Linked DNA regions of Stegostoma tigrinum. The protein of the gene in region 2 purifies or fractionates together with the protein of the main gene of each other region. This does not show direct contact. Links are inferred from orthologs where the notes say so. Each region holds a gene or a part of one and is shown on either strand. Other genes may lie near its edges.

Region 1 (16,060 bases), on a different chromosome or scaffold from region 2:
TCTGTGCTGGGGCCACTGTTGTTTGTGATATACATAAGTGATTTGGAGGAAGGTACAGGTGGTCTGATTAGCAAGTTTGCAGATGACAGGAAGATTGGTGGAGTAGCAGATAGTGAAGGGGACTGGGACTGTCAGAGATTACAGCAAAACATAGATAGATTGGAGAGTTGGGCAGATAAATGGCAGATGGAGTTCAATCCGGGCAAATGTGAGGTGATGCATTTTGGAAGATCTCATTCACAAGCAAACTATACAGTAAATGGGAAAGTCCTGGGGAAAATTGATGTACAGAGAGATCTGGGTGTTCAGGTCCATTGTTCTCCGAAGGTGGCAACGCAGGTCAATACAGTGGTCAAGAAGCTATACGGCATGCCTTCCTTCATTGGACAGGGTATTTACAAGAGGTGGCAGGTCATGTTACAGCAGTATAAGACTTTGGTTCGGACACATTTAGAGTACTGCATACAGTTCTGGTCGCCACATTACCAAAATGATGTGGATGCTTTGAAATGGGTGCAGAGGAGGTTCACCAGGATGTTGCCTGGTATGGAGGGCAGTAGCTATGAAGAAAGGTTGAGTAGAATAGGATTATTTTCATTAGAAAGACGGAGATTGAGGGGGGAAGCTGATTGAGGTCTACAAAATCATGAGGGGTATAGACAAGGTGGACAGCAAGAAGCTTCCCCTCCACCCCCACCCCCCAAGAGTAGGGGACTCAATTACTAGGGGTCATGAGTTTAAAGTGAGAGGAGGAAAGTTTAGAGGAGATACGCGTGGTAAGTTCTTTACACAGAGGGTGGTGAGTGCCTGGAACGCGTTGCCAGCGGAGGTGGTAGACGCAGACATGATAGTGTCTTTTAAGATGTATTTGGACAGGTACATGGATGGGCCGGAAGCAAAGGGATACAAACCCTTAGAAAATAGATGACAGGTTAGACAGAGGATCTCGATCGGCACAGGCTTGGAGGGCTGAATGGCTTGTTCCTGTGCTGTAATTTTCTTTGTTCTTTGTTCATCTGGATGGGTATATGAATAGGAAGGGTTTAGAGGGATAGAGGCCAAATACTGGAAAATGCAACTAGATTAGTTAAGGATACCTGGCTAACATGAACAACTAAATAAAACTCAAAGGAACTGCGGATGTCGTTCGTCAGGAACAAAAACAAAGTTGCTGGAAAAGTTCAGCAGGTCTGGCAGCATCTGTTTTTTCCTTCACAGACGCTGCCAGACCTGCAGAGCTCTTCCAGCAACTTTCAACAAGTTGGACCAAAAGGCCTCGTTACATGCTGTACACCTCTATGACACAAAATTCCAATGAAAAATCAAAACAAATATATTCATTATGCAAACAGGCCACAGAAAGGGCCTGTTCTGTGCTGTACTGTTCTATGTTCTATGTTCTATAAAGGTGTTATATGCAATTTAATTTGCTGAGTCAGGGCATTTCCATTGGGATGGTACCAGATATTAATGATCTTAATGTGTTTGAGTCATTATCTGGTAACACCTGCTAGAAGTGCTGAGTACAAGCATACCACACCAAGGAACTTTAGGAGAGGAAAAGAGCAGAAATTGTGAACAAAAAAACAAAAAAAGAGGTGGGAACACAGATTAGCACACCATACTGTTCCTACTGGATTTAATTCAGTAAGGAGATCAGGTTTAGGCTCAAATGAACTTGGAACATTCTCTTCCAAAATTTCATTCCAATTCACAGCAACCTGTTCAACCACAACGAACCTCTGTCTGTCTTCACCAGCATACATGCTATCAAGGCAATGACAGCTAAAAAACTGAATCAAAGCTTAGACGCTCTCATACTAGGGAGCGAAACAAAGATCAACGAACAGGTCAACCTAACAATATGTCATCATTTGTTAATCATGGCAATCAATACGCTTTCAATTTGCCTTTCCTGTGTTTTCAGAAAAAGGGTAGCCTATCTCGTCTTCTCTCCAAATGGACTGATCAAAGCATTATATACTGCACCATAGAAATGTGTAGTCTGTCCTTGCAAACCTTTGGTACAATAACCCAAATTAACCGCTACTCAAATGCATTTCGCTTCAATTATCAAATTTGCTTTTCAACATTGCTTATGTATCGACTTCCACTATCTTTTCTGACAGTACATTCCCAACCACAAGCGAGAAATGGTTTGCAAGATATTTCGTGTCATCTCAGATCATTTGGCCAATTACCTTAAATCCATGTGTGATGCCGCACAACTGAACAACTGATCATTTTGGCTTGCAAATTTTTTTTTTTTTTTAAACTGTCTGTGGGAAAATCATCTGTGATTTTGATCAGTCCCATCAACTCAACCTCCTCTGCACCAACAGAAAGTCCAGATGGTCCAGACTTTCTACACACTGAAGTCCTTGACCCATAGATACCAGCATAAATCCATAGGGCAAGTCACCATATTCCTGTAGATTTGATACTAGTTACTATCAAGGACTGGGTTTTCATGAAGATAAAAGGATGGCACTTCTGAAGAAACTCCAAAAACAACACCAGCAGTGAAGACCTATGACCTGGAGTGCAAACTAAACATGCCCGGTTCAGTAAGATTAATTATGTTAAATATTACTTGGATACATCATAAAAACAAAGACAAAATTTTGGAATCACACTGCAACAAAAACGGAATTTGATTTGTTTAGTCTTGATGAAACAGTGGCCCTGCTGACCTCTATTGTAGTTTAGTACAGGCTAATCCAGGTTTGTGGCACTGCAAAATTGATTTTCAACAGATATCTGTATTGCAATTGTGACTTTCACCAACTTTTACAAAGAATGGCAGCAAATATTTCTGGTCAGTGAATTGGTTTTGATCCAGTTCTGTTCATGATCAAATTTTTGTAGCATTCCATACCTACTGTCTCTTTTCAAATCACACATTTAAGATATTAAGTCATATCAGTTGTAAAAAGATGGATCAGAATGATGCTGCCTTTATTCTGACATGGCAACATAATCTCACGAACATAAGATCCCAACGCTTCACTCTACTGCCTCCACTAGCGTTCTACATCAGTCTATTGTGAAAGATTATCTCTTGATAAGCAAGGACTTGAATTATCATTCCATCAGGACATCCTGAAGTATTTTTAAAACCCATGATTACTTTTGACTGATAGCAGAAAACTTATTTACAAAAATTTTGCTTGGGATTCATGATGGCACGCAAAGACATCAACAGAGGCTGAATGCATGGTCAAACATTTGACAGATGGATTATTGTCCACTTGGTAGGAAAAACAAACAGAATATTTCTCAAACATCAAGAAGCTGGGAAGTAGAGAATGTCAAGAGGACACTGATATCCTTTTTCATGAGTCACTGAAAGTTGACAACATAGGTATAGTGAGCAATTAAGTGGGAAATGGTGTGCTGGCCTTAATTAGATTCTCAACAGTGTGGAAACAGGGCCTTCGGCCAAACAAGTCCACACCGCCCCTTGAAGCATCCCACCCAGACCCATCCTCCTATAACCCACACACCTGTAAATACTAAGGGCAATTTAGCATGGCCAATCCACCTGGCCTGCACATCTTTGGACTGTGGGAGAAAACTGGAGCACCGGGAGAAAACCCACACAAACACTGGGAGAATGTGCAAACTCCACATAGAGATGCCGAGGCTGGAATTGAACCTGGGACCCTGGCGCTGTGAGGTTGCAGTGCTAACCACTGAGCCACCGTGCCACCCCAAACTTAATTACAATTGCATTGAGTATAGGACAAAAACGTCTTGCTGCAAATACATAACGTTTTAAATGAAATCACACTTGGAGTATTTGTGCATTTTTGAGTATATCTTTGGTAAGAGTGCAAAGAGTGTGTATAACAATGGTTCACCAAATTTCTGCAATGGGGGGTTGCACTATAATGAAAGATTAAACAGACTAGGCTTTTATTTTATAAAATTGAGAAGAATGAAGTATAGTCGCATTCAAACATATAAAATATACATGGCTTGATAGGGTAGATTCAAGAGGATGTCTGTCCTTGCAAGGGGAGGTCAAAAACCAGTGGACAAGAGGGGCGGCACGGTGGCTCAGTGGTTAGCACTGCAGTCTCAGTACCAGGGACCCGGGTTCGATTCCAGCCTCCGGTAACTCTCCGTGCGGAGTTTGCACATTCGCCCCGTGTCGGCGTGGGTTTCCTCCAGGTGCTCCAGTTTCCTCACAGTGTCCAAAGATGTGCAGGCTAGGTGGATCGGCCATGCTAAATTGCCCATAGTGTTCAGGGGTGTGTGGGTTATGGGGGGGGATGGGATGCTCCAAGGGGCAGCATGGACTTGTTGGGCCGAACGGCCTGTTTCCACACTGTCGGGAATCTAATATAATTTAAATTAAATTAAATTAAATTAAATTAAATTAAATTAAATTAAATTAAATTAAAAATTAAGAGTTGTAGAATAATGTGAGGCCATTCAGAATTGAGAAAGAATTTCTTCAGTGGGTGCTGAATGTTCAGAATACTCTGCCCCAGTGTTGTGGAAGCTTAGACAGAAATTGGCACATTTCTGCATATTAATGATATCAAAGGAAACTGGGACAATGCAAGAAAATGGTGTGGAGTAGATTCAGCAATGGTTGATCATCTCACTGTATGGGCTTCGAGGATTGAATGGCCTCCTCCCGTTCCTATTTCTCATGTTCATATCAAGTGACTGAATAGCTAAATTTACTTCTGATAGAGATAGTAGGGACTGGCGACGCTGGAGAATCTGAGATAACACGTTGTGAAGCTGGATGAATACAGCAGGCCAAGCGGCTTCAGAAGAGCAGGAAAACTTGACATTTCGGGTTGGGACCCTTCTGATCTGAAACGTCAAGCTTTCCTGCTCCTTTGATGCCGCTTGGCCTGCTGTGGTCATCCAGCTTCACACTTATCTCTACTTCTAATAGCTTTGGTTGAATGGAATATTGATGGGGCATTAGGAGAGCTCTGTTCCATTTTTAATTTTGTCACAGGAGATTTTATTCTCTGAAATGACATACTGGTCCTTAACTAACATCACAATTGAAAACGGTTGTGCTTTGTATCAAAAATTAGAAACTTTCACTTCAAATGCAAATAATCAATTGCAAAAGGAACAACCCTTGCCAACAGGTATGGCAAGTTTATTAGAAATTACAAGAGGAAATGGGGTGAAGTAAATAAGCAAAAAAGTCACAGTAAGTCATCAACAAAAAGCACAGGTGATCAAGAGTACAGTGGGCAATTCCGTTTGTTCAGTGATTGTGCCGGCAGAAATACACTACTGGACTTAAAACAAGATAAAAAGGTTCAACCACCTGTGATGTATTTAAAGCAAACAGGAATAGGATTAGGCTATTCAACCCAGGTTTCTTCTATCATTCAGCATCATAGCTGGTCTTTTACCGCAATGTTCACATACCTTGATTTGGTAACTTTAATATGCTTAGCAAGAACCTAAAAATATCTAAATCTTAACCTTCCAAAAATCCCACCCATGCCACAGTCACTCCAAATTTTAGCTATCTGAGAACTTCAGCTCATTCAAAATCCTTACTGACCACATCCAACCCCCGACTTTGTTTGCATATAATCCTACCATTACTGATCTATAGACACTTTAGTTAATGCAACACATTCAAAAATCTTATCCTACTGTTGAAAAACCTCATTTTGCCCACTCCTCTAACACTTACCAATCCTGCAACACATCACAGAGGTTTCCAATTTTAGTTTTTTTTTGGGTCCCTTTGATCATCATTAGCAATTCTGCCTTTGACTATTTAACCATTCCCTTACTGCTGCTTCCCAAAACATTCCTGCCTCTTCATATCCTTTAAGCCTCTTAAAATAGTCACCTTAGCCACACTCAGTGAGCCCATCCCACTTTGTAGGCTGACACATAGCCTAGCCAAACAGCTTTAGAAATTCAGAATACATCATAACTTCTACAATAATGTTCAACCTCCCATTTGTCCCAGTCCTGTCAATCTCCAACTTCCCACAAACTTCTGATGTGTAATTGCTACAAATGGTAACTTGGGACATCAGGTTTCCTAATTCTGTTAGTGAAGATTACATCTGCAAAATACCAAGAAAATTCAACACAAGCATTAACTGCAACAATTTTATAGTGTAATGCCTGCACAATTACCATGAAACCAATATACTAATCAACACAAGCAGGAAATCAACAATCTGGAGAGCACTGAAGCAGAAAATCTCAAAGTTTAAATCCATATAACTGCTAATTTGTGTACATTCCAACCAGCCAATACAGAATTATAATTCATGGACAAAAAAGAATTACTAAAAAGATGTTTCTTAAAACAAAACAAAGCTCACAACTTGAGACAGACCATGAAATAATAAAACCAAAAGCAGTCGCTTGGAATTTGGAGACCATATCTGAGGATCAGGAATGCACATGAAGAGGGGAACACAGTTTAGGCATCTAACACTAGTATGCAAAGTTTTTTTAAAAAGGGAACGGTGCTCCAAACTTGCTCATTAGGATGTTGGGAAAGACACAAACAGTTGATTTATCGGGGTAAAGAGCTTTGCTAATGACGGTATGTGATACGTTTACACTCCAAAAGTCTGTAATTTGCAGATTTTAGGATATTCTCAGTTGTAGAGCACGATTTAGCCAATGACAACACTTCAATTATTTTCATTCGGGCAGATAACATTTCTTTAGCATACTCTGGGGAAGGTGGTGTTGTTAACACTTGCTCAGGATTTACCAACTTTCGGAAAATGGATGCATGATGGAAGCTGTCAGAATTTTGGAAAACTATGGGCCCTGAGTTTGGACTGACCAGATGATATGGGACAGATCAGCACTCAAAAACCAACCGGGTTGAGCTGGTGGTCTACTCCAGGGGGAGCAGGGTTCTCACAAGGGTCTCAGACGGCCCACGAGATGGCAGTGGGGCCTGGTCATCCTCACCGCAGCAGACTGCCCTCCTCCAGAGTTTCTCGCCCGGATCCGCCGGGTCCCAACTCCTGGGACAAACCGAGCGCTGGGGGCCGCTGCCCCGTAGCCTCCTCTCCGGCCTCTACTTTTCACTCGAAACTTACCTCCTTTCTTCAAAAAAGCGAGCTTGAAGCCGAATTTCTGAAGAAACGAGTCAATCCATTCGCTTGCGAAGCAGGAAAGAAGAGCCGCTTCCCGCTGCCGACACACGGCAAACACTAAAGAGAATCGGACGAACCGGCGGCGGAACCGACCTTAACCGCTTCACCTTCCCAGAACGCCGCGCGCCACCGGAACTGACGTCCCGCGTCCACCAGAGGCCCCGCCCCCTTACTGCCCTTTAAACCGGTGGCTAGAGGGCGTGTGCGGGAGACTCGACCACGCACTGTCGCCTTGGTAACGTACAGCGTTTCAGTCACTGCAGTTGACACTAGGGTTTATCTGATGCAACACCGATGTTCAGAAATGACCTTGCCATGGGGATGGGCTCGAAACGCTAACTCGGTTCCTCCCTCCACAGACGCTACTCGGTACCTGCTGAGTTTCTCTAACGCTTTCTGCATTTTGTTTCGGATCTCCAACGTCCGCAGTATTTTGCGTTTTTTTTAAAAACTTCGGTACGGAGAAAATATCTCGCGCGTAACTAAAGTGCCACTGATGAGGTGGTTTGCCTCACCTCCGACAAGTGCAAAACTTTACTTACAACAGGGGCATCTGGTCTTTCATATGAGAGCTGGCTGGTGTAACGTCTATTTTTTTTTAAAAAAAGTCCCGAAACAACTGTGGCTGCTGTAAATCAGGAGCCAAAAACAAAGCAGAAATAGTAGGAACTGCCGATGTTGGAGACCCGAAAATCCTCTGATGCTGCTTGGCCTGCTACGTTCACCCAGCTCTACACCTTGTTATCGCCAAAAAAAAACAGGAGTTGCTGGAAAAGCTTAGCAGGTTTGGCAGTACCTGTAAAGAAGAATCAGTTAACGCCTCGGGGCCAGTGATCCCTTCCTCAGACCTGGTTTAACGTCTGACCAGGATAATGAAATGTGAGGCTGGATGAACACAGCAGGCCCAGCAGCATCTCAGGAGCACAAAAGCTGACGTTTCGGGCCTAGACCCTTCATCAGAGCTCTCATCAGCTCTCTGCAGAAGAGTCTAGGCCCAAAACGTCAGCTTTTGTGCTCCTGAGATGCTGCTTGGCCTGCTGTGTTCATCCAGCCTCACATTTCATTATCTTGGATTCTCCAGCATCTGCAGTTCCCATTATCACTAACGTCCAACCTGAATGACATTTCCGACACTACATTGCAACGGTAACCTGCTTTGTGTGCTCGAAGTTTGTGGTGGTGTTTCAATCTATTTTCCAACTGGCTCGATGAGAATGGCAATAGCCCTGACTCCTTATTAGTTCTGGTATCCCCATTACCAGTTACTCACACTGTAAAAGTTAAGACTTAAATAACCACTCTTGTGCAACTAATATTATTCGGAAACAAAATTTGACTTTGGCGACAGTGGCCGACCTTGAATGGGATAGGCGTTTGCGGATGAGTAAGAAGAAAATTGTTTGTTCTCGCAAAACTTGTAATAGAAGTAGTGAAACGATAACATCATTCCAAAACACAATTGTACGGCCTGTAATTCTACTTAAAAAGAACATTACATTTTCATGTCCTGAAATGTTTTGGAAAAATAATGGTACGTATGTTGTCTAAGGTAATTGTTTAACTAATTTTGGATCAAAATCGCACGTTTTTCATTTTGTTGCATTTCCCACGACCCTCGTTTTCACTTACATGGCTGCACATCCATCAGTTGATGTACTTTCTGGATTTATACAAATAAAGGGCAGGTGTTGCTTTATGCCACAATATCTTTTGAATGAAAAACATCAGATCAGCAATGTTTAGTAGGATTTTTTTTCTAGATTTTTAGTATCCTTTCCCTGTCCAGAAGACCACCGTTTTGAGGATTGAGAAAAAGTTTCTAGGGCTGCATTGATAGTCATTTCTATCTTCCAAAAACTGTAATGGCTGTCTTGATGGGGATACCCACCTTAGAGTAAACCACAATATCAAAATTCTGATTAATATTCGCTATGCACAATTTATATTTGTTTTAGAGCAACATTGAGCTTTTCACGTAATTTGATAATACACTGCATTTGGCAAAATTAATGCACCAACTGCCATAAATGCCAGTATAATTCAAAAAATCAATATCAATTACTAAGTTTATATGATGTATGAACCATTATTATGGGTATTTTTTTGTTTTATAGTTCATTGATAATTTCATAGGAGGCTGGACAATAACAATGATCCACTAAAATCCATTAAATGGTGAAAAATCTGCATTAACAGAGATAAATCTCATTGGAGATGAACACCAAGAATATCAGTGATTTGAACACAGTAGATTGTTGATAGCTTCACATTATCTAGATTACATAAAGTCCTGAAATCTGTTACTTGATGCAGAAATCAACACAGATTACAAAAGCTGCAACTGTTATTCAGTTTCCACGTAAGAGTGTGAACAACAACTTGAGCATGTTAAACTTTTTAAGTCTTCCCAAGCCTGTGTCCTCAGTGCAATCCTCTACAGTGGTGAAAATTTAATAAAGTATGCAGGTATTAGGAAAAGCCAAATGGTTTTGATATTACCTGTTTCAGACATATTCATAGTCTCCAACTCAGAGGTGCTGGGATGTACTAATTCCATCACTATTCCTCAATGCTAGGTCATTAAAGTTTGCTTTGGATGGCCAGCAGTATACAAAAACACCTTCTGTATGGTGAATTAGCTACTGAGTTATGAAATCTTGAAACAAGGCAATCTGCAAGTGAGATAAGAAAATTATGGACATTGATAACTAGGTGACAGTCACTGATAGCCATGATCTTTGGAGACTGGCTGGAAGAACTTTGCAAGAGATGAGTTAATTTGTTTGACTGGGTGGGGTAAGGATCATGAACTTAATCAGCATACTTGTCTTCTGCAGCAAACACAACTGGAACCAAAGCACAGCACAAACTATAATCTTACAAAAGGAAAGGTTGCCACTTGTACCTGCCTGGAGGATGATGGCAATGCATTCAGTCATTTCATGATGTATTCTGCTAGTGACCATGCTCCTCATTTGAAATACCTGATGTATACTTGTGGTATGGCTTTAAATCCAGATGTGTTTTTTGAGGAAGGATCACCGGATCCAAAAGGTTAACTGATTTTTTTCTTCACAGATGCTGCCAGACCTGCTGAGCTTTTCCAGCAACTTTCATTTTTGTTCCCGATTTACAACATCCACAGTTCTTTTGGTTTTTAATCAACTATATATTAAATTGGTATGCTGTCAATCTTCCTCTGGAAAGGTCAATTTGGGTACAGCGAGTAGTGCTTCATATCTAGTATTAGTTGTATTTTGACTAACTACAGATAATCTTCCTTTGGAAAGGTTTATTTGGGATTAAAGTGGTTCTAAACTGACACTTAAAATAATGGAAGTTAAAAACAAAACTAAATCATTTTTATATGGCAGACTGTGCAGTCCTATTTTTGAGTGAGAGCCTGGTGAACAATTGATCAGTTAGTGTAGAGGGAAAAGATGAGTGATTGGAATTGGCATTTTACATGCATGAAAATAAGCCTATAATGAAATACTAAATTGATAATATTATGTGTTAAGCAGCAGGAAGCTAAATAGTTCTCTGCTGTAAAATGTCAGTTTCAGTTAACTCCAACAGCGCCCTTGCACAACTAAGCTTTGGCTTCATCTACCTTCACCATCGGTTGTCTTCATTGATTTTAGGTACAAACTGTTATTCAAAGATACTCTACACATGTGATTTAGACCTTTAAATTTGGTGATTCTCTTATGTATTTTAGATATATTGCTGACTAAAACTACATTCTAGTGAAAGTTCTGAGGCATACATAGATTTATACCTTCCTATATAAAATTATGCAGCTTTGCTACTAGATTTGAATGGCAGCTTCTGATCCATACAAATTAGGAAGACTCCAAAATTGTGTTTTCCCTGTCTATTTTAGAAATAGTAGTATGGGTGGCACAATTGACTGAAGTGCTCTGAGTTATTAACTTTTGTGCAAGTGTGTTAAAGGACCACAGAGCCTATTTGTGAAGAATGCACTGAGACTAGGATGCTTTGGTCGAGACTTGCATGCTGCAGAGTTTACATCTTCATTCTAAATATCCCTTCCTAAATGCTAGCTGTTTTCTTTTTTAAAGGAATCCAGATTTTATCATTATCAAACAAAATGAAAGTAAAACAACCCGAGGGGCACAAAAAATTAATTCAAAATTTTGAAGGATCCAGAGGAGAATTCTGAATTAAAATGTATTTGGAAGGGATTAAATACATCTATGTATAAATAACCAAACAGTACCCAACACTTGTCTACCTTATTTTCTTTAAATACAAGGTATTTAATGCTCATCACCTGAACCTATTAGACACGAACAGACATCCCTCTTTTTCTCCAAAATAAATAAATTAATATGCAAACAAAAGCTCATTCATAAGAAAACATTACGTAATATCCTTAACATACTCCATAATTCCAATTTGAAAAAAGTCAATAAGATTACAATGAATACTTGTATTCTCAAAATTCAAATTCTGGGTGTCCCACTTCAAAAATGTTCAACAATTTCTTTGAACAAACATTTTTGTAAAATAATCCAATAGCTGGTGGCTTACACTGACCATTTATTTTAGAAATTTCCTTTCTTTCTAACGTGTTTTGTATTTGACAGATTAGAGGATAGCTGGAGGAGGCCATTTGGCCCTTCAAGCCTGCTCCACCATTCATCACCATCATGGCTGATTGTCCATGGTTTCTCCCCATAACCTTTGATCCCATTCACCCCAAATGCTTTCTCTAGTCACCTCTTGAATACATTCAACATTTTGGCATCAACTGCTTCCTGTGGTAATTAATTCCACAGGCTTACCACTGTATGAAGAAACATCACCTCCTCCATCCTAAATCGTCTACCTGAATCCTCATGCTATGATCCCAGGTTCTGGACACACCTGCCATCAGGAACGTCCTCCCTGCTCTAATCTGTCCAGTCCTGTTAGAATTTTAAGTCTGTATGAAATACCCCCTCATTTACCTGAACTCTGGCAAAAACAATCCCAACCTAGTCAGTCTCTCCTCTTACGTCAGACCCGCCATCCCCAAAATCAGCCTTTGTTGCACTCCCTCAAAACAGCATCCTCCCTCAGAAGAGAACACAGCTGCATACAATATTTTAAATGTGATCTCACCAAGCTCCCGTATAAATGCAACACATGGCTGCTGCTGTACTCAGAATCTCTTGCAACGAAGGCCAACATACCATTTGCCTTCTTTCCTGCCTGTTGCATCTGCATGCTTACCTTCAGCAACTGGTGCAAAAGGATGACTGGGCCCACCGTACACTCCCCTCTCCCATTCAGGTAATTTGCTTTTGAAGTGAATAACCTCACGTTTATCCAAATTATTCTACATCTGCTATTGATTTGCCCACTCACCCAACCTGTCAAGATTCTTGTAGAAGAATCTCTGTATTCTTGTTCTTGATCACCCTCCCACCCAACTTGGTATCATCTGCAAACTTGGAGATGTTACATTTTGTTCCCTCATTCAAATCATTAACATATATTGTGAATAGCTTGGGGTCCCAGCGCCAATCCCAGTGGCATCCTGCTAGTTACTGCCTACCAATTTGAAATTTACCAGTTCCCTCTCCATCACAATAGACTTCCCCTAATTCCATGTTCTAATCTTGTGCATTAATCTCTTATGTCTTCAACTTCTTTTGTATGACACATTTTCAAGTGGATATTTCTGTTATGAAAAATTGTTCTTTTGGAAAAGTATTGTTTTGGCAATGGATTTGTGTTTTCATCAGTACATTAGGAAAATCTTCAAACTTAGTTTTCCTGCTGTTGAGCAGTCTACTTTTGTTTTGTTTTATCACCCAACTGTTCCTCAAATTCCTGAAGTCTCGGCATAGATTTATATATATATTATTAGGAAGTACTTTCTCCATAGATATCTAACTGGAACAATGTTGGGTGCCCTTTATCTGGCATGCATGGGTATACTCTCTGCAACTGTTGCATTGTTTACTCTGCCTTCACCGATTTACTGTCTAATTAGTTGGTAGTCACTTGAGATTATGACAAGGGCTCCAACTTCGTACGGTGCTCCTCATACATTCTTGCCTTTACCGTTATGAGGACCTCCTGGCCTATTAGTCCTTGATCTAACCTTCCTACAACCGGACTTCCTTACCCAAGTTTTTGATCTTTTTCTTGTGCTACAATCAGTATTAGGTCAATTCATAGACCTGAGTCTGTCTCTCATATATTCAGGCAGGATTCTAGAATTTCCTAACGGCATTTCCTGCTGTTTCTACTACCACCATCACTTGGTCCACCTGCACTTAGCCTGATATCTGCTACAATCAAGTATCCATAAGGGTCCAGCTTACGTGTGTATGCGCAAAGTGCATAGTGCACTTTCAATTTGTCATCGATTTAAGTTCTGTCAATTTGTAGTTAGTTCCAAGTAGTCATGCACAATGTGCTATTAATGGTTTTTTAGGTTGTGATGCTTTGCCATCAGTACCAATAACGTTTTCTAATGTTGTCCCTTGGATAATACACCATGATCTCAGGCTCTTTTTTTTGACAGCCTATTATGACCTCTAAGCACTCCTGAAACCTTTCAGAAACCTTCTGCTTCAATGAATACTTTTCTGAACGAATGCACAGCACTGATATTTTCTGCAAAAATTTTGAACTAATTGTAGTCTTTTCTATAGAGATAATATCCCACAGTTCTGAAGGTAGTTTAGGATTTCTGTCATAAACTAATTATGAGAGGTGTATATCATACCATTCGAAGCATACTTCTTGCATGTACTATCCACACCATGTACTATCCAAAGCATTTGTTGATCAATTCCGTATATCAGCTAAACCTATTCAGAGCGTTTTAGTAATCAGTGTGATTTCTCTCAAATTTTTTTTCCTGTTGTTGCATGCAAGGCTACAACATCCAGATTCTCGTACAAACTCCGGAATTCCCCATTTCTCCATTGTTCATTAAGAATTGAGCTGGTGTTCCCAATCCTGCTGTTATCCACTTTTTAAAAAAATATTTTCTTGATAATTATTTTTGTCTTTATTATCAGGCTTGGCAGATTAAATCTGGTCTCTGTCTACAAATGTAGACAGACAATATTATTGTCTATTCTAAAACTGGAGGTCCAATACTAGTTTCATTAAGTTTTCAATTGGTGAGAGGTTTTAATGACACAATGAAATTGCCCTGTCTGTTTTGAAAATATATTTTTCATTATCTTAAGTTTACTGTATTCCTCAAGTTCCCTGCATCCTTTAACACAATCTTCGACATATGGCAAGATAAATACACAAATGTTGAAGTAGCTTTGGAATAATTTTCTTCTTTTCCTTTAAATCTCTATACCCATGTCATTGATAGCTGTTTAAATCATATTCAGCTGCTTTATTGTTCTTGCCAAAGTGGATAACCTCATTTTCCTATGTAATAATTCGTGTACCAAGTTTTACCCACTCACTTAACTGGTCATATTTTTCTGTAGACTTCTCACCTATTTTTATGCCAACTGCACAATTAAACAAATCTTGAACAAATGAAAAAGTACAGAAGAATGGGTGCTTTCGCCCTCCAGGCCTGTGCCAACCATATTGCCCTAATTAATTAAAAATAGACCTGCCATTTTAAAAAAAAATCTGTATCTATTCCCTTCCATTCATGTACCCATCAAGATGCCTCTTAAATGTCTTCAATGTGCCTGCTTCCACCACCTCTTCTGGTCATGCATTCCAGGCTGCTACCACCCCACACACATCTCCCTTAAAATTTTCCCCCTCTGACCTTGAACCTGTGCCCCCTTGTTATTGAAACTTCTACCCTGGCAAAAAGCTTATCTATCCCCCTATCTATGCCTCTCTATTTTGTAGGCCTCCATCAAGTCTCCTCTCAGCTGCCACCTTTCCAGTGAAAACAATTGTCTTCTTAACCTTTACTCATAGTCAATGTCCTGGAGACCAGGCAACATCCTGATGAACATTCTCTGTACTCTCTCCAAAGCTTCCACATCCTTCTGGTAGTGTGATGACCAAAACTGCAACAATACTCCAAACGTGGCCCAACAATGGTTTTATATAGCTGCAACGTCCCAAACGATGAAGGGAAGCATGCCATATGCCTTCTTAATCACCTGTGTTGCCCCTTTCAGACAACAGTGGACCTGGATGCCCATATATGTCCAAATATTAGTATTCCTAAGGGTTCTGCCATTTATAATTCACACCTAAATTTGTTCCTTCAAAATGCATCACCTCACATTTGTCTGGATTAAACTCCATCTGCCATTTCTGTGTCCAAGTTGCCACTCTATTGTTATCCTGTTGTATCCTTTCACAATCATTGGCACTATCACCAACTGCACCAATCATTATGTCATCAGCAAATTTGCTTCTTAGACCACCCACATTCTCCTCTAGATGATTCATATATGCTACAAGCAACAAAGGACCTAAGACTGACACCTGTGGAACACTACTAATTATTGGTTTCCATTCTGAAAAACATCGTTCCAATGTTACCCTTTGTCTTCTATGACCAAGCCAGTTATCTCTCCAACTAGGCCACCCAAATCCCTTGTGATTTTAGTTTTTGTACCAACTTGCCATGTGGGACTTTAGTAAGGCATTTGATAAAGTCTGCATAAGCTACATCCACAGCCCTTCCCTCATCAATTACCCTCACTGAATTTTCTGAAGAGGAAATCAGGTTGGTGAGACAACCCAGACAAAACTGTGCTGCATTTCCCAGAATTTCCTCTTTCAATATGTTGACATTCTCCAGTGTACTCACACACTCATCCCTGACCTCAACATTAGTCATGTCCTTCTCCTTGGTAAAAACCAATACAAAGTACTCATTCAGGATCTCCCCCACTTCCTGTGGCTCCAAGCACAACTTCCCTCCTTCGTCCTTTAGTGGACCTTCTCTTTCCCTTTACTGC
Region 2 (16,027 bases):
ATTGTAAGATCACTGTTTCTGCCTACCTTTAAGCCTTAGGAGCTTCAAGTGGCACATCATTTAGGGTCTGGAGTTAGGGAGTTTATAAAGAATGCTCAAGGAGCCATTTTTATATGAAACACTAAATTCCCAGACCAGGAATAACAGTTAAAAGTTAAATAGCTTGAAAGGGTGAGCATTGAAGTATGTAATGTACAATGCAATAGTAAAAAACTTGCTGAATAAAACTAAGAAAAAATGACAATTCAGCCCAAAAGGACGTACAAAGCCAAATATATACTAACTCCTCTTACCTGTGCTTCTAAAGGCTGAGAATTAGCTGGTCCAAAAGTAGAAGCAAATTATTCACCTCATGGAATGTGTTCCACTATTAAAGGACATCATGGCTATGCCATTTTCCTATCTTTTCCTCATAACCCTTGTTTCCCTTACTGATTAAAATATCTTAGCCCTGAATATAAGAGATCGCAGGCTCAACAGCCCTCTTTCGTGAAGAATTCCACGAATCACAGGGTTGTGAACACAGCCCAGTCCGTTACACAAACCAATCTTCCGACCATTGATTCTAACTGCACTTTTTGCTGCCGTGGAAAGGCAGCCAACGTCTTCAAAGACCTCTCCCACCCTGTTTATAATCTGCTGTATTAGGCAGAAGGTACAAAATCTTAAACACACAAACCAACAGGTTCAAGAACAGCTTCTTCCCCACAGTTATTAGACTTCTGAATGGACCTCTCAAATTGCAAATCTAATGTTGACCTTTTTGTGCACCACCTCTTGTGGCCGTAACTTTGTATTCCTCACTCTGTTCAATAATTCTATGATCTTTGTATGTTATGATCTGCCTGTAATGCAAGCAAAACAAAACTTTTCACTGTATCTAGTTACATGTGACTATAATAAATCAAATCCCCTGAGAGAAAAAAAGTCCTCCTCATTCTGTCTTATTCTGAGGTTATGCTCTCTGGTCCTAGCTCTCCCACAAGAGGAAACAACCTTTCCACATCTGACCTGCCAAGTCCCCTTAGAACCTTATAGGTTTCAATAATGCCTTTCATTTTTCTAAATTCCAATGGGTACAAGCCCAACCTACTCAACCTCTCCTCATAAGACAGTTCCTCCATGCCCAGGAACCTGCTCCAGGCTGTCTCCAATGTCAATATAGCTTTCTTTAGAAAGTGGACTCAAAACTGTTCACAGTATTCCAGGTGTGGTCTGATTAGTATGATTATTGTTTTTAGCAAAGCCTTTTTTAATAGTTTATTCTCTTTGAAATAAAGGCTAGCATTTCCCTTCCTTATTACAGTTGAGTTTGTATGCTGTTTGTGATTAATACATCAGCATCCCAAAGTCCTCTGTGCTGTGGCTTTCTGCAGTCTTTATTTGAATATTCAACTTTTTTCCCCTATTAAGGTGAATAACTTGACATTTTCCTATATTACATTCCATTATATAATCAATTTTCTTCTGATTTTCAAGTAAAATCTATCTGACTTTTCTGATTTCTGTTTGAAGCTAAACCATTAGAATTTGGTAGAATTAGGCAGACTGTTGAACTGGAAAGTACATTGTACAGCACAGAGGGATAAGGACGTTCTTGTTGTGAAATACAAAAAAAAGTTAGAATGCAGGTGCAGCAAATACTTAGGGCGAATACTTTGGCCTTTATTGTTTGTGGTTCGGTATTTAAAATGGAAACTCTTACTATAACAATATAAGATGTTGGTGAGGCTGCACCTGCGGTATTGTGTTCTGTTTTGGTCTCGTATCTAAGTGGATACACTGATGAAGGGTCTAGACCCGAAACGTCAGCTTTTGTGCTCCTGAGATGCTGCTTGGCCTGCTGTGTTCATCCAGCTCCACACTTTGTTATCTTGGGATTCTCCAGCATCTGCAGTTCCCATTATCTCTGTTACACTGATACTGGAGGCTGTTTGAGAGACTCATGAGGCAGATACCTAGGATGAAGGGGTTGACTGATAAAGAACGGCCAGTTTAGACTAAAATGAAATAAAGAACTCCAGATGCTGGAGACCTGAAACAATGACCAAAATTCCTGGAGAGACTCAGCAGGTTTGGCAACATGCGTGGATAGAAAAACGGAATTAAAAGTTTGGAAGCCAGTGTCCCTTTGTCAGAACCCTTTTTTTTGGTAAAGAGGTTAGGCCTTTATTCATTAGAATTTAGAAGAATGAGGGTGATCTTGTTGAAACATTCAAGATTCTGATAGATCTTGATGCGGTAGGTTGAGAAGATGTTTGCCATCATGGGGAATATCGAAATAGGGAACACAGTTACAGAATAAGGGAGCACTTGTTTAAAATTGAAGTGCAAAGGAATTTCTTCTCGAATGATAGCGAATGTTTGGAATTTGCTATCCCATAGAATAGTGGAGGTTAGATCTTTAAAGATATTTCGAGGAAGTAGCTAGATTTTGGAAATAGCCAGGAGTTGAAGGCTAAACGTAGTTGGTACGAAAAAAGAATTGAAGTGCGGGGCAGATCAGCCAGTATCTTTTCGAAGACCGAGGCAGGTTTGAGGGGCCGAATGGCCTACGGCTCCTATATTGTATTAGTTTCGGAGTTAATATAGTAGGAAAGAGCTCGGGGTTTGACCCTGATTGTTGTTGAGACACTCTGCGAACTCATCTAATTATGAATTGAATTCAAAACCAAATTTAACTTCCAAAAATGGAATAATTCGACCTTCGCTACCTGTGTCCCGTGGCAACTTCAAAATCCTACTGAACAAAACCTGCTCCTGATAGCTGAGAGGACTGGAATTGAAAGAAGCCGTCAATACCTTCCCGATCTGGGTATGGGGAGACGGGAGGGCATGAATAAATCGATGTAAAAAGTGTTATAGCAAGATATCTTCGTTAAAGGCAAACCGCTGAGGACCCTGGGAATCTAAGAAGAAAACAAAGTGCAGGAGAAACTCAGCAGGTCTGGGAGCATCTGTGGAGAGAGCATCGGAGACCTAACAAACTCTGCTGTGATTAGTACCCCAGTCTGCCCAATTTCTATCCTCATTCACACTTTTTACATCGCAAAACTGAATTTTGTTTAAAAGTTAATGGCTTTAAGTGATGTTTTTGGTTTGCAATGCATTAAACATAAACAAGGTTCTTTTGAATGTGTGATGTCCTCCGCGACGTTCTTTCATCAGACATCCTGCGCCTTGCTTCATATCCAGAGCTCTGAATAACCCCATTCAATGTTTATTGGATTTAGTTTGAAAAGGACGGTCCGTTCCCCATTGGCATCAACACGAACTGTGACTTTACTTCAGAGTCTGGGTTCAAAGAATATCTAACGATTCATATAAAGATAGATTTATATTTTAAATAAACCAACTGTATAGGCATGAGGTAGCAGAATTAACTTAGGATTGACTGAATCTTGGGATTAGTGAGACAAAGTTTTGTATGTCATTTTCACAGTCTCACGGCATCCTAAAACGCTTCACTATCGATGAAGGTATAGTCGCTGCTGTAGCAAAAGCGACAGTAAAATCGCGCACAGCAAGCTCCCATAAGGAGCAATATGAGCACGTACTTATTTAGCTGGTCAGATGTCTACTAGCGTTTAAAAACTATATCTCTATTCGTGAAATGAACTTAGCAAAAGTCAATATCCCTTTGTGGTTTTTTGACATGTTGGTGTTCCTTTCTAATATTTTAATTTTGACTTCGAACAATCATTTTAAACAAAAGTTTTCCATTGACAGATTTGTTGTCTCTGAAGTCCATCATTTTGTCTAGATTTCTGAGTCGAGTTTCTTCTAAGGCGATTCATTAAAATGTTACCAGTTAACTAGTTAGAAGTCAAAGAAGTTTCCAGAGTTCAAGTGCATGGTCTCCGAGTGAGATCTTTAGTCCAAAGACAATCTGGGGTAGAATTACTCTGGGGAATTTACGAAGCGATCATCAACAGAGTGATTTGAGCAGGCCCTTCTCATTTTGCACAACATTCCTCTCATACGTGCCTACCCTAACGAAATGATTCCGAATTCCGATTCGAAGCAAATGAAGTTTCTGTGGAGAGAAACCAGAGTTAACATTTCGAGTCCAGTAACCCTTCTTCAGAACGTGTTTTTATTTGTAAAGTCTCATGTTCTGCAACTCTTTTTTCCAGTGAGGTGCACACTGACGGTTTTATACGTCCAATTGTTAACAATAATTAAGACTTGCCTCCAAACTAATTTCTAAGTCGGTTTTATTTGGTTCAGTATAATTAAAACGCAACTTTGTCTCCAAGTAACAATCAAATTGTTCCGCTCCTACAGGACACTGACTCCGCGACGTCAGTTACTGTACCTCAGCTTCCACAGTCCCATTCATGTACAAGCTGAGTGGTTAAACTCATCAGGGACATGTGTAGATTTAAGGCGACGATATCAAACTTTTCTCTTCACACCCTTGCTTCCAACTCTGTCCTCCCATCCCTATTATTTATCCTGATTTCTGAAGTTCCCGCAACATTTAACGTGTGAAGTTCTTTCCCTTCACTTTTCCAACCTATTGTCCAGATGATCACTAACAGCGCAAAGAGCGAAACTGTTGATCTCTGCGAGTTTTCAACTCGACCCCCGCGCCCATGACAACCACAAACACACACAAAAAACATATTTTAACCTAAATTGTAATCACAGCATATTGTGCGCTCTTCAAGTCCAGATCTCTTTTCACAATGAAACAATCTATGGCTCCCCCACAAGTCAAGCCACGGGAGCCATCATTATTGCATCCCTGCGGGTGTAATTACACGATCCAAATGGGTCGAGTTCACATCCTGCAACAGGTACGTGCCACTGAGTTAATGCCAAGCGGTGTTTAACTCTCGCCAGATAAGTTTACCCCGTACCCCATCGCCAGACACTGTGGGTCGCGTCTGGGCAAATTTGAATTGGCCGGGGGAAATGTGGCGAATATGTCCCTTTGAGACACATCTTTATTTTCCAAATCCATTCATTTAAGGAAGCATTTACATCTTTAAAGCGCCTTTCTCAACATCAAGGCTCTTCAAGGTGGACCAGAGTCAATGACATGACCGGTTCAGTTCTCACATAGTCTAATCGCGCACAACAAGATCCCACAAACAGCAATGTGGTTTTGGTAGGTCCACCCATTCCAGTGACTGATCTGAACGGTGATAACGTATAAAACGTTCAGCAGGACACTGGTCCGCAAGGTTCTGGATTCAATATTCCCGTTCGGGGAACGGGGCTAGGGGCGGCGGCGGGACAGTTACTAATTAGGCTACAATAAAACGCTGCCGACTCTCGACAGGCCAATATATTAGAACAGAAACACAGTTTATTCCAAAAGGCTTAGTATTTGAAGGTAGAGGTCGATACATTTTTAGACACAATTAGAAGGAAAGGATCCGCGAGTAATACTCGAAGACAGAGCTGAGGTGACATGATCTTATTGAATAGTAAATAGTAACAGAAAGCCGAGGGGCCGAATGACCCACTCCCGCTCCCTTGTGACTTTCTTCTTCTGTGGAATAAGCTTCTCCCGGTATTCGATGTTGACAGTTTTGTTTCCAAACACATTAATGAGCAGGACCTGCAAAACACGTTCTTCAGAAATTGCTGGCAAAGCTCAACAGGTCTGGCAGCATCTGTGGAGAGAAATCGGTTAAGGTTTCGAGTCGAATGACAACGTTAACTGTGATTACACTCCACAGATGCCCTCCAGACCTGCTGAGCTTTTCCAGCAGTTTTTGTACTTTTTTTGTCTGATTTACAGCACCGCAGTTCTTCCGGTTTTTACAAAGATCTATTGGAATCCAACAGTGATCCTTACCGAATTCTGGTCTTTGTGCAATTGAGCCATTAAATTGAAATGTGGAGCGTTCTGCCGCGTAACCTGCTGATAGTTGCAGTTTTGCTTCACCTGGTATCTTGTGTCGTTTTTCGTTATTCACAGGGCAGTCAGTAATCCGTGAGAATGGAATGGGGAGGGTGGGGGGCACGGTACGGTGGGGGGCCCCGTTGGACAGGAGGAGGCCGCTCGGTCCCTTGAATGTGCTTCTCTCTAAAATCAGAGCATGGTTAATCTGGAGCTCAATTCCATCCTGCCACCTCCTCAATCCTTTCCTCTCTTTAAAAAAAAGGGAGAAAATGTAAAGATCACTCAGTGTGAGATTATATTTCCCACTGCTCCAATCATGGGTAATCATTGTTGAACATATGGAGCTCCTTTGTTCAATACGAATAACGGGCAAGTTACAAGATAGCAGCTTGTATATGGAGATTGTATAGAACTGTGTAACTAACTTGAGAGAACAACGTCCTGACGTCCTATGATTTCTCTCTGGAATAAATTTCGCTCGGTATTCGATGTTGACAGTTTTGTTTCCAACCACATTATAGGGCAGTTCCTGTAAAACACGTTCCTCAGCAATTGCTGGAAAAAAATACTCAGCAGGTCTGGTAGCCGCTATGGAGAGAAGACAGAGTTAAGGCTTTGGGTCCAATGATCCTTCCCCAGAACGGCTTTGCTTTTTTTTTAACGAAACGTTAACTCTGCTTTCTCTCCATACATGCTGCCAGGCCTGCTGAGCTTTTCCAGCAATTTCTGATTTTGTTTCTGGTTTCCAGCATTCGCAGAACTTTTTTTTTGGTTTGATGTTCTTCTGGATTCTGGCCTTGGGAATATTGGACACATGTTTGAGAGAGAAAAAAAAGCGAAAGTTCACGAATGATCTCCCAACGAACTTGCCTAAATATTCCGTCGGAGACTTGCGTTCTAAACTGTGTCGTGGACTTCACCCTCAGAGAACATGGGAACGGTTCCAATGTGCAATATTTACCTCGTGCCAACTGATAGGTGGCGTGGGTGGCTGGAGATGTAGGTGGTAATGCGGGGATGATGTGGGGAGGTATGGGTGTGGCAGTAAGTTTGGGGTGTGCGGAGAGTGGTTAGAGGGATGGTAAGTTAGCAGCAGAGGTTGGGAGAATATTTTTTAATGGGTACAGCTCTTTTGATAAAGTCATTCAACATCAAAATCTCTCCCATTGAAAGATCTTTTACAGCGATTCCCTCACAGGACGCCCAGAGGCGGTCTTTTCAGACATTGCTGAGTCGGTTCAGCCCCAGGGACTAATATTGAGCCACTGCTCTCCTGTGTCTTTATGGTTTGACCCTATGCGACTGTTGTAAGGACTGTAAACTCCTGATCAGAATACCTCTGCAGAAACGCGAACTAGAAGAAATCAATTCTAAACCGTGTGGATTCAGAGTTTCCTGCTCGTTTAGAAAGTTACGGGGAACCGAGCAGACTCCTTGTAGGAGTCGAAATGAACTCAATCCCGTTCACATCCCGGGGCGATGTGTGGGTTTTTTTGCTGTTGTATGTGATGAACCAATTAATTCTTAGCTTACCGAGCAACGGTGGATCGAGAATGATTGTAGAGATGAAGGGCACAACACTTCTCATCATACTTAAAATACATTAAAACAATCGATAACATTCACCTCACTCAATGCCCTGCACTCCTCAAAGAAATAGTTTCAGAATGGGAGGACACTTGGAAAGTCACTTGGGTGTTGGTGAGTCAGGAATTCGTTCCAATAGAGAGTTTCTGTGAAAATGCACTTCCTGTCGAAGGTCAATGGGTAATTTTCGATATTAATTAATTCTTTTATTTGGAGTTAGAACTGATCGCTCCACTCCTGAAGGAGCTTGTGTTGGCTGTAACGGATGGCAGGCAGATGGGTACGGAACAGAGGAGACAGTGAGCGTAGTGGTGTCCAACCAGTAACTCTTTCATCAAAGCTCAAAGTGTTATAAGATTCAGAAGCCGAGCCCCCACCCCCTTCCTCCCCACTCTCCCCCAAAGCCTCCTCGACTGAGGAAAACTTTGGCGCCAGATCGCCATAGCTCATTGAGAAAAAAATGCCACCACCCAGGAGATTTTCATTCAAAAAAAATCCCTCCTGAGTAAACATCCTCCAGCAGCCGGCGAGAGCTGGGCGCTGTTGCAGTGCTATTGAACAAACCCACGTTATTATGGGACTGGCGTGAAGGGCTCTGCAAGTGGGGGGTGGTGAGGAGGGAGAAGCAGCCAGGGTGATGTTGTGTAGTAAACAAAAGGGATTTTTGTTTGTGTGTGGTGGGGGGGGGGGGGGGGGGGGGCTCGGAGGGAGGTGAAACTGACGTGATCTTCCACGTGAGGGGCCGGCCGTGTGTAACCACGTGGACCTCTCCCAGGCAAATATTTCACTCATTTTTTAAGGTCGATTTTATTTGGAGGCGGTGCCACCAGCAACGTCCTGTGACATTTTCAGTTTGACTCAACGGGGTTTGGGGGTAGCAGATAGACTTTCACAGCCCGCCATACCGTTTCATAACTCCCTGTTTCCGGCTAACACTTTTTCTTTGGCCGTTTTGTGTTTTTCTCTCTCTCTCCTCCCTTTGCAACAACCGTTTACCATTTTAGTTGCTGCTGCTGGTGGGGTTTTTTTGTGTTGTTGTTGTTGGATATATCATTATTTCGAAGGTGCTGTTATAATTTTACACCCTCCCTTCTTTGCTCACCCCCCCAAAAAAACAGAGAAGCCCTAAGAATCACAATGAACAAGCTGTACATCGGGAATCTGAGTGAGAGCGTGACTGTGCCAGAGTTAGAAACTATCTTCAACGACTGGAAGATTCCTTTTTCTGGGCAGTTTCTACTCAAAGCGGGCTATGCCTTTGTAGATTGCCCAGATGAGAGCTGGGCAATGAAAGCGATCGATACCTTATCCGGTAAGCGATTTCAACCGATATCCAAAACGCAGGGGAGAGCTGAAGCTGTCTTGAGAACGCCGTTCACTCGGCGAGATTCTGTGTTCCTACCCAGTTCCTAGCAATGGCCTACCTACCTCCTACTCCTCCAGGCTAGGAAAAGGTTCTGTTCTGGAGAGAGTTGCACTGGTCCCTTTTTAATTTCTGACCAACACGTTAATGATTCGAGTCCTCCACTCCCTCCCCAAAAAGCGTGACATGTTGATTGTACAGAAAGATAGATAATAGAGATTTTAATGTAAAGATAGGGGGTGGGGGTGGGTGGGAAAGACGCGCCAATTCCTCCTGTACGTGAGAGGGGGCTTTATGTTTCTGGAAACCAGCAGGTTCTCTCTTTTTTTTAGTCAATTACACTCAACACACGCGGCGTTTGACCAAAAAAAAGATAGAGGAAGAGTCAGATTGCTATTCCGTCCTTTGGGAAGAAATCGCAGATAAGGAAACCCAGTTGGGTCAGATCTTTGGATCTGCTGCGGGATCTGGTTCCCACCACCCCCCCCCCCCCCCCCTTCCTTTGGATCAGGGTGTCTCTTGGAGAGAATGGTTCGATGCTAGCTAGTCCTTCCCCTTAGTGATAGTAGGCCGTCATTTGCAAGCTCCGTTATAATACCACGTTAGCAGTTTTAATTCTGTCTCTCGTCTCTTCGACACCCCCTCCCCTTCCTCAGGCGACCAGTCCGGGTAACATTTATCCCTCCTTCCCTCTGACTGGCCCCCCAAAACGGCGGCTGTAAGTGAATGCCGGTCGCCCCCAGCTCTCTGAATGATTCCTGAAATTGAATACAGCCTGTGATGGGGCACACACAGAGCCGAGGTCGGCCATACTGATTGTGAAAATACTATAGGACTGCAAGCATGCAAATGTCTAGGGCGAAAACCCCTATGCTATCCAGATAAAATATAACTTTCAGGTCCGATATATAATGTATTTCCATGTGTGTTGGATATACATAGCAGCGACCTCATCCTAAAGTTCCTCAGTAACTTACTAAGGAAATTAATCCTCAATTATGCACAACAGATTTCAACCCTCACACTCTTTTTAAAAAAAATGACAATCCATCCTGATAAAAACAGGGGTTCATTTCACCCAGTGTGTTTGTACAAGTGTAGACGAAGAAGGCGAAACGCTATTTTACTAAATAAAATTCAAATCGAACTTGTTTACAGGTAAAGTGGAACTCCATGGGAGACACATAGAAGTGGAACACTCAGTACCCAAGCGGCAGAGGTATTAGCAATTTCAATACTTGTTTTGCTTTGAATATTTATTTGGCGATATCCTGGAGAGTTGTTATGAAGTGAATTAGACATTTGTTTCTGGTTCCTGCTTGAAAGTGTGTGTGATTAAAATAAAATAGACGTACAAAGTTGTGAAGCTCTTCAGAGAAGCTATTTTTAAAAAACTGTGGTTATACTGTGCTGCAGTATGGAACAAATTTCAAATTAGTTGTTTCCTGAATCTATATGATGTTATTACAATCTTGAATTGAGGCGAAGTAGTGCAGCAATTGTGGGCAGCAACCCGCGGCTGGAACTGCAATGTGTTTTTCTGGAGATTTAAAGCGACGGGCGACAAAATAGGTTCAGTGTCGAGGAGCTGGATCCAGTGATTTTTGTTGTAGCTTTAACGAGCTCTTCCCGCTTTTCTGCTCAGAAATTTAAAAGGTCACGATTTGAGAATGGGGAGAGGGTGGACGGTTAGAGATGCACCATTTCCAACACTACCCCCACCCCCAACCCCCCACCTTTGGCGAAACCGCTCAAGTAGATCACGTTGCAAACGCTGAAGCCTTGCTTTGGGTTCAAATCTCATTTGACTCCAAAGCCGATTCCGGGAACGCCTCGACCTACGGGAGAGAGCTTGCAAGAAATGAGCTGAAGGGGCAGTGGGAAAATCAATCTTCCGAGTTTCTTTACCACCCTTTCCATTTTCGCTTTGAATCGCTAAGGGACGCGTTGTCTCGAAACTAAGGATTCTTTGCAACAGAACTGTGCGAACACGTTGGCATTTTCATGTCCCTATATTGCTCTGAGTGCAATAGTTAACGAATTCTGTTTGATGTGTTTTGCCATGCATGACCTTTTACAAAACGGGATGCACAATTCCAATAAGAAAGTTTGACTGAGTTCTCATTCAGAAACCCAAGTTAAAACATTGACCCAGAATCTAACATGATGGCTATTCAGTGTGGAACCTGGTTTGGGTTACAGACATACCTGTAAAAGTATTTGCTTGTTCTTGCTTTAAAGTATTTGGTGCATGTGTATCTTTGCTTATTCTGATAAACTGGATAGTGCCTGTTGTAAAATGTCTATAAGTGCTGGTTCAAAAGATACCATAAAAGAAGTTAAGCACTGGATTAGAAATAATCACTTGATATCAATTCATATTATTATGTATTTAAAATGATAGAGTAGAGAGAGCAATTTATTAGTTCGGTTTAGCTGCAACTATTGTCCTCCATGTTAGCATTTTAACCAGACAGTTGTATGCTTTGTAACGCAACATCATCTGGTGTGTTAGATATAATCCATGGAGGTTTGTAAATCAAACTGTGCCCCCCCCTCTGTATTTTCAAAAGGCTGAAGATGAAGTTTGAATCAGCCAATTTGAAAGTTTTGAAAAGTAGTTACAATATTCAGCAAAACATAATTTAAAGTCAATTGTCATGGCTATAATCAATGATTTTAAAAAATCTGATCAGAACATTCAAAATTTAGTTAAGAACCTTTTGCCTTGTTCTTTATTGATGAACCTGGTTTGGAAGGAATGATGAGTAAACACTAAATATATAGACTGCAAACACAATTTATTGTTTTTACTGCCCAAGTTAGTTAAAAAAATTCAACAGTTAAAATTCAATTCTTTGGTGGTGGTGAACTACCTACATTCTTTACTGCTTTATTTAAAATATTCTATTATGTTTACATTTACAAAATTTAAAGACTTTGCATATGAAACCTTAACATCCTGTCTTCCTGAAAGAGATGTAACTATTTTGTTTTGTTAAAAATTAAGCACTTAAAATTGTTTTTGTGGAAATTTTGCTTGAAATTCTGAAGATCCAAAATGCAATGTTTGTGGTAATATCCATTGGAGTTTTAGCTTTTTCTTTAAAAAAACTGTGAAAATAGATATTAAATAGATCAATATAGAAATCTAAGTAAAAGTTCAAATGAAATAACATTGTTACTCAATGGAGTATTGTCTGTGTGTACTTAAATGTTTGGTTCAATGATCCTATTTACTGAAAGGATAAATTGCTGAAATTCTGAAGGCAGATAAAATACAATTTTATAATAGATTTAGTGAAATTAACTTTGTTGTGTTTGCTGTCAATCTGTCATTAGAAAAATGGATATCTTCTTGTATTTCATAAGAACATTTGTAAAACAAAAGTACAAACCTATTGCTTCAAGCGTGTTTTCGATTGTTACAAATGGTTTCAAGTAACTTAAGAGTTCAGTAATAGAAGTGTAGAAACTTTCATTTTATATATGAACATATTTAGCATTGATCAAGTGTAATTTTACAAAATTTTGTACTGACTGAATTCTATTCATAGGATTTGACTCTTAAGAAATAGTTGTGAATCTAGAGAGATTTTGTTTGGTAAATAAAATGAGTATTATAGTGTTTATCATTCTAATATCCTTTACTTTAAGATAAATAAACTGGCAATGGACAAAAAAGTTAATAAAATTCAGCAAACTAAGTTTACACCCTCGCATACATGAACAAAAACAACTTCATGTTTAACCATACAAAAACGTAATAAAAAATAAATGTCACAAACACTTGCAACTCTGTTCACAGTAAAAAAAATGTATTGATTAAAATGCTGGAAAGGTGTTAAAAATATGAATTTCTTGAAATTACTTACGAAGCATTGACTTCAGAATAGGGAAAACATCATTAAACATTTTGCTTAAAGAATACTTCCATTCCCATCAATTTATCCTCCCCGACCCAGAAAACACAGTCATGCAGGAACTCTATCAGCATCTGAAAAGGGAAGAGACAGGTTAACATTGATGGTGCTTGAAACATTAATTTCACTCTAGCCCATTCAGCTACAAAAATAAAGACTCTGTTGTTTCTCTTTAACCACTTTTATTACAATTACAGAAAGGTAACTTTTTATATCTTTAAATAAAATGAGGAAATAATAAGTTTAGCATAATCAATTTCATAATCAAATTTAGAATAACATTTATAAAAAATGAAATAGTAATTGAAATTTAGGAAAAAGAAGTTTAATTTTAAAATAGACTTTGCAAGGAATTAGACTTCATGGGTTATGTTCTAAAATATTTTGCGAAATCAAACAAAAACATTTTAAAGTAAACATATAACTTTAAGCAATCTGGCACAATTTACCCTAATGTCTGTAAAGTAGAAATGGCAGATATATCTCACTGTGTAATGTTTAATTGATATAATTTGTAGATCCTGAAATGACTGTCATACTTAAAATTATGGAGAAAGTTTCATTCCAGTTTTGAAATTCAATATTAAAAGAAACAAGGAAATATTACAACAAAAGACAACCAAACATCAAAATAACCAATGCATTTGCTAGAAAAAATGGACTATACAATTTACAAAGGAAATGGTTGATGTCTTCATTTGTAATTTCAAGTAGCTTAAGTTTTTTGAATGTTTGGCAAGTTACCATGATTAACACAAATGGATGAAAATAGTTTGAAAAATTCCAGGTTTAGGCTGTTGCAATGCTGACTTATCAAGACATAGAAAACTTTTTTAAAAAGAAGTAAATAATGGTTTCATTGATTTACAGAAATGGCTTGATAAGAGTTCTATGATTTTATCCAGAATAGCTGAGATAAACAGAGGTCAGGAACAAATTCCACTCCTAATTTATGCTGAGTTGGCTGGTCTCAGCCAGTCGAGTGGAGAGGGTGTGGTGGAGAGCTGCACAATTGGCCTTGGTATCCTTAAGAGGAAAGTTGCCGAGGATTCTCACTTCTGCTTGATAATCAGTACCTCATCCTGAAAGGATGAATCTCTGGCTACTGGGTTAAATCAGAATTGGATTTATATGTGGTGTCCTTCATGGGTGGCTACATTGCAAACACTTGGAGACAAATTTAAGTTACAAATTAAATAATTACTTGAATGAGGATTCTAACATCTCCCAGTATGCACGGAACTGGGCAAGGAAGGGAAAATATTGCCTACCAAATTGCATCCTTAAAAATAGCAAAAAAAAGCAACTTCCATAGACTTCCACTTTTAAAGCTAAGATTTATTTCCTCATTTTTCAGCAACTTGCAGCTTTGATGAGACTAAAATCTTATGCAGAATTTAGGAAATCTATTACAGTTAAGTGGAAACGTGCATTGTTTGGTGCTGAGGCCTTTTGTAGATTCGTTATGTACAACTCAAGTAGTGGTAGGAGTTGTTTGTGGCTAAGAAACTCTTGCCAAGCTGTAGTAGTTTGTTGACTTTATGAATGGAAAGGATCCCCATTGGTGTTATATACTGTGATTCAAACTTGTTTTTCTTTTGTCTGACAAGGTGGAGCAAATGACTTTATTGAATTTTCCTAAATTACAGAATAGGTGACTGTCTGCTTTTGTAAAAAGAAAACTAAAGTAAGATCCATTTTTTAAAAAACAAATCCTCCTGCTAAGTTGCCACACAAAATGGTGGCATAAGCCTTTCCTCGTTTCTGCATAGGTCATTATTGAGCAAAGCATGACCTTTGACCCAGACTGGAAGCACATACCCTATACTGCTAAATGGATTCCAGAGCTGCGTTACTGAAACCCCTCTCTCCCTTTCACTCAAAACCTGCAGAAAATTAATAATGTTACACATTTCTTAAATACTGAAATGTGTCTGTGTGTGTGGGGGAGGGGGGAAGAAGCTGTTTCAATCTGAAAAGCCCTTTGAAGTTTTCTCTTTCCATGTGCACACTTGTGTGTGTGTGTGTGTGTGTGTGTCTTTCGCTACCCCACCCCCCACTCCCCACTCTCATTGTAATTTGCAGTTTCCCTCCCGTGTGCACCCCTCACCCTCAGGCCTTTTAAGTTCAATAAGTAGAGCATTCCTAATCTATATGCTCATCACACAACAGAAGGTCAAGAGGTGGTGTCAGGACTGTCACATAGTCTAATTGAGCCTAGTGGATCAGTTCGGTCGGGCTGGAGGAGGGGGGGAAGTGGAAAGGAAGATATTTGATTTGGTTACATTTCTTAGGCCACATGTAATAAAGGTTCAAGTTTTTATCTCTTAAAAAAGTGCTGCCAGAGGTGGAAATATTCACTGTTCAAACAGAATAACCTTTGAACCATTGTTAAAGGAACTGAGGGTTGCACGCAGAATGTGAAGTCAGTTGTATGTTGGTTTTTTTAGTGGGGGTGGTGGCGCTGAGCGGAAGAAGGAGAGAAAGCAAGAACGATTTAATATCAACTCTGAAGGTGCATTATTAATTGGGAGGTCCTGTTAGGTTCCTGGTTGTGAGACCATATAGCTTGTACAAAACTTTAGCTATCCCAGTGCAGCCTCTTGAATGCCTTGAGCCAGTTTCTTAGTTTTGAATCCATTTCCAGTTTAATTCCTTCAAAAGTAATGGCGGAGTTTAGTAGACCAATCACAACAATCGTGAACAGATCTGCTTCAGATTGTAAAAGTCAGACAGGCTCTCTTGAAATAATTCAGAAAAATTTAGTGCAAGAAAAACGTACAAAGGAAAATAATTTGCACAGATTAGTGAGGTGAGTGGTCAGGATTGTTCTTCCGAAAATTTAGACGATCCACATTGATGATTACTGAGGTGGGGGCAGGGGGATGCTAGACAGCTTTTCTTGACTTTGCTCTTTGCAAAATTTCAAACACATGCCTGCATTTGTTTGTCATTGGGAATAGCTTTATGAAATCGTCTTTAGTTGAGCTAACAATCCCTTTAAGACTACTAGACAGGGAGGAATGTTGCTAAGGCGAGGTAGCAGAGTAGTGGAGGAGGATAAAGAAATTATCTTGAACATCTTTAAGGCATTGATCAAAAATTGGAGGTTAGCACTAGAATCTGTCTCTTCAGGTAGTGCAATGAGTAGAAGCTTGTTGGGTGATCACTGGTTTCAAGTACTAAGTTCACATTAATTTTATTACATAGATTTCAGGAAATTCTTACCGGTGTTTTGGGATTAGATTCTACAATTCCATACATTTTTCCATGAGATTTGTAAGCTAGTTGCCA

The links.
Region 1: the proteins of igf2bp1 (region 2) and stau1 purify together in Homo sapiens (affinity purification with mass spectrometry; 3 studies listed by BioGRID and IntAct, with this or other methods). This does not show direct contact. The link is inferred for Stegostoma tigrinum from reciprocal best matches to the Homo sapiens genes IGF2BP1 and STAU1.

The regions. Positions count from the first base shown.
Region 1 is NC_081372.1:32,627,008-32,643,067, forward strand, and holds the start of stau1 (double-stranded RNA-binding protein Staufen homolog 1), read right to left. Parts: upstream 7,262-16,060; 5' UTR 7,074-7,261; intron 1-7,073. UniProt on the Homo sapiens protein: Binds double-stranded RNA (regardless of the sequence) and tubulin.
Region 2 is NC_081384.1:4,735,533-4,751,559, forward strand, and holds the start of igf2bp1 (insulin-like growth factor 2 mRNA-binding protein 1), read left to right. Parts: upstream 1-8,304; 5' UTR 8,305-8,584; coding exon 8,585-8,759; intron 8,760-9,968; coding exon 9,969-10,029; intron 10,030-16,027. UniProt on the Homo sapiens protein: RNA-binding factor that recruits target transcripts to cytoplasmic protein-RNA complexes (mRNPs). This transcript 'caging' into mRNPs allows mRNA transport and transient storage.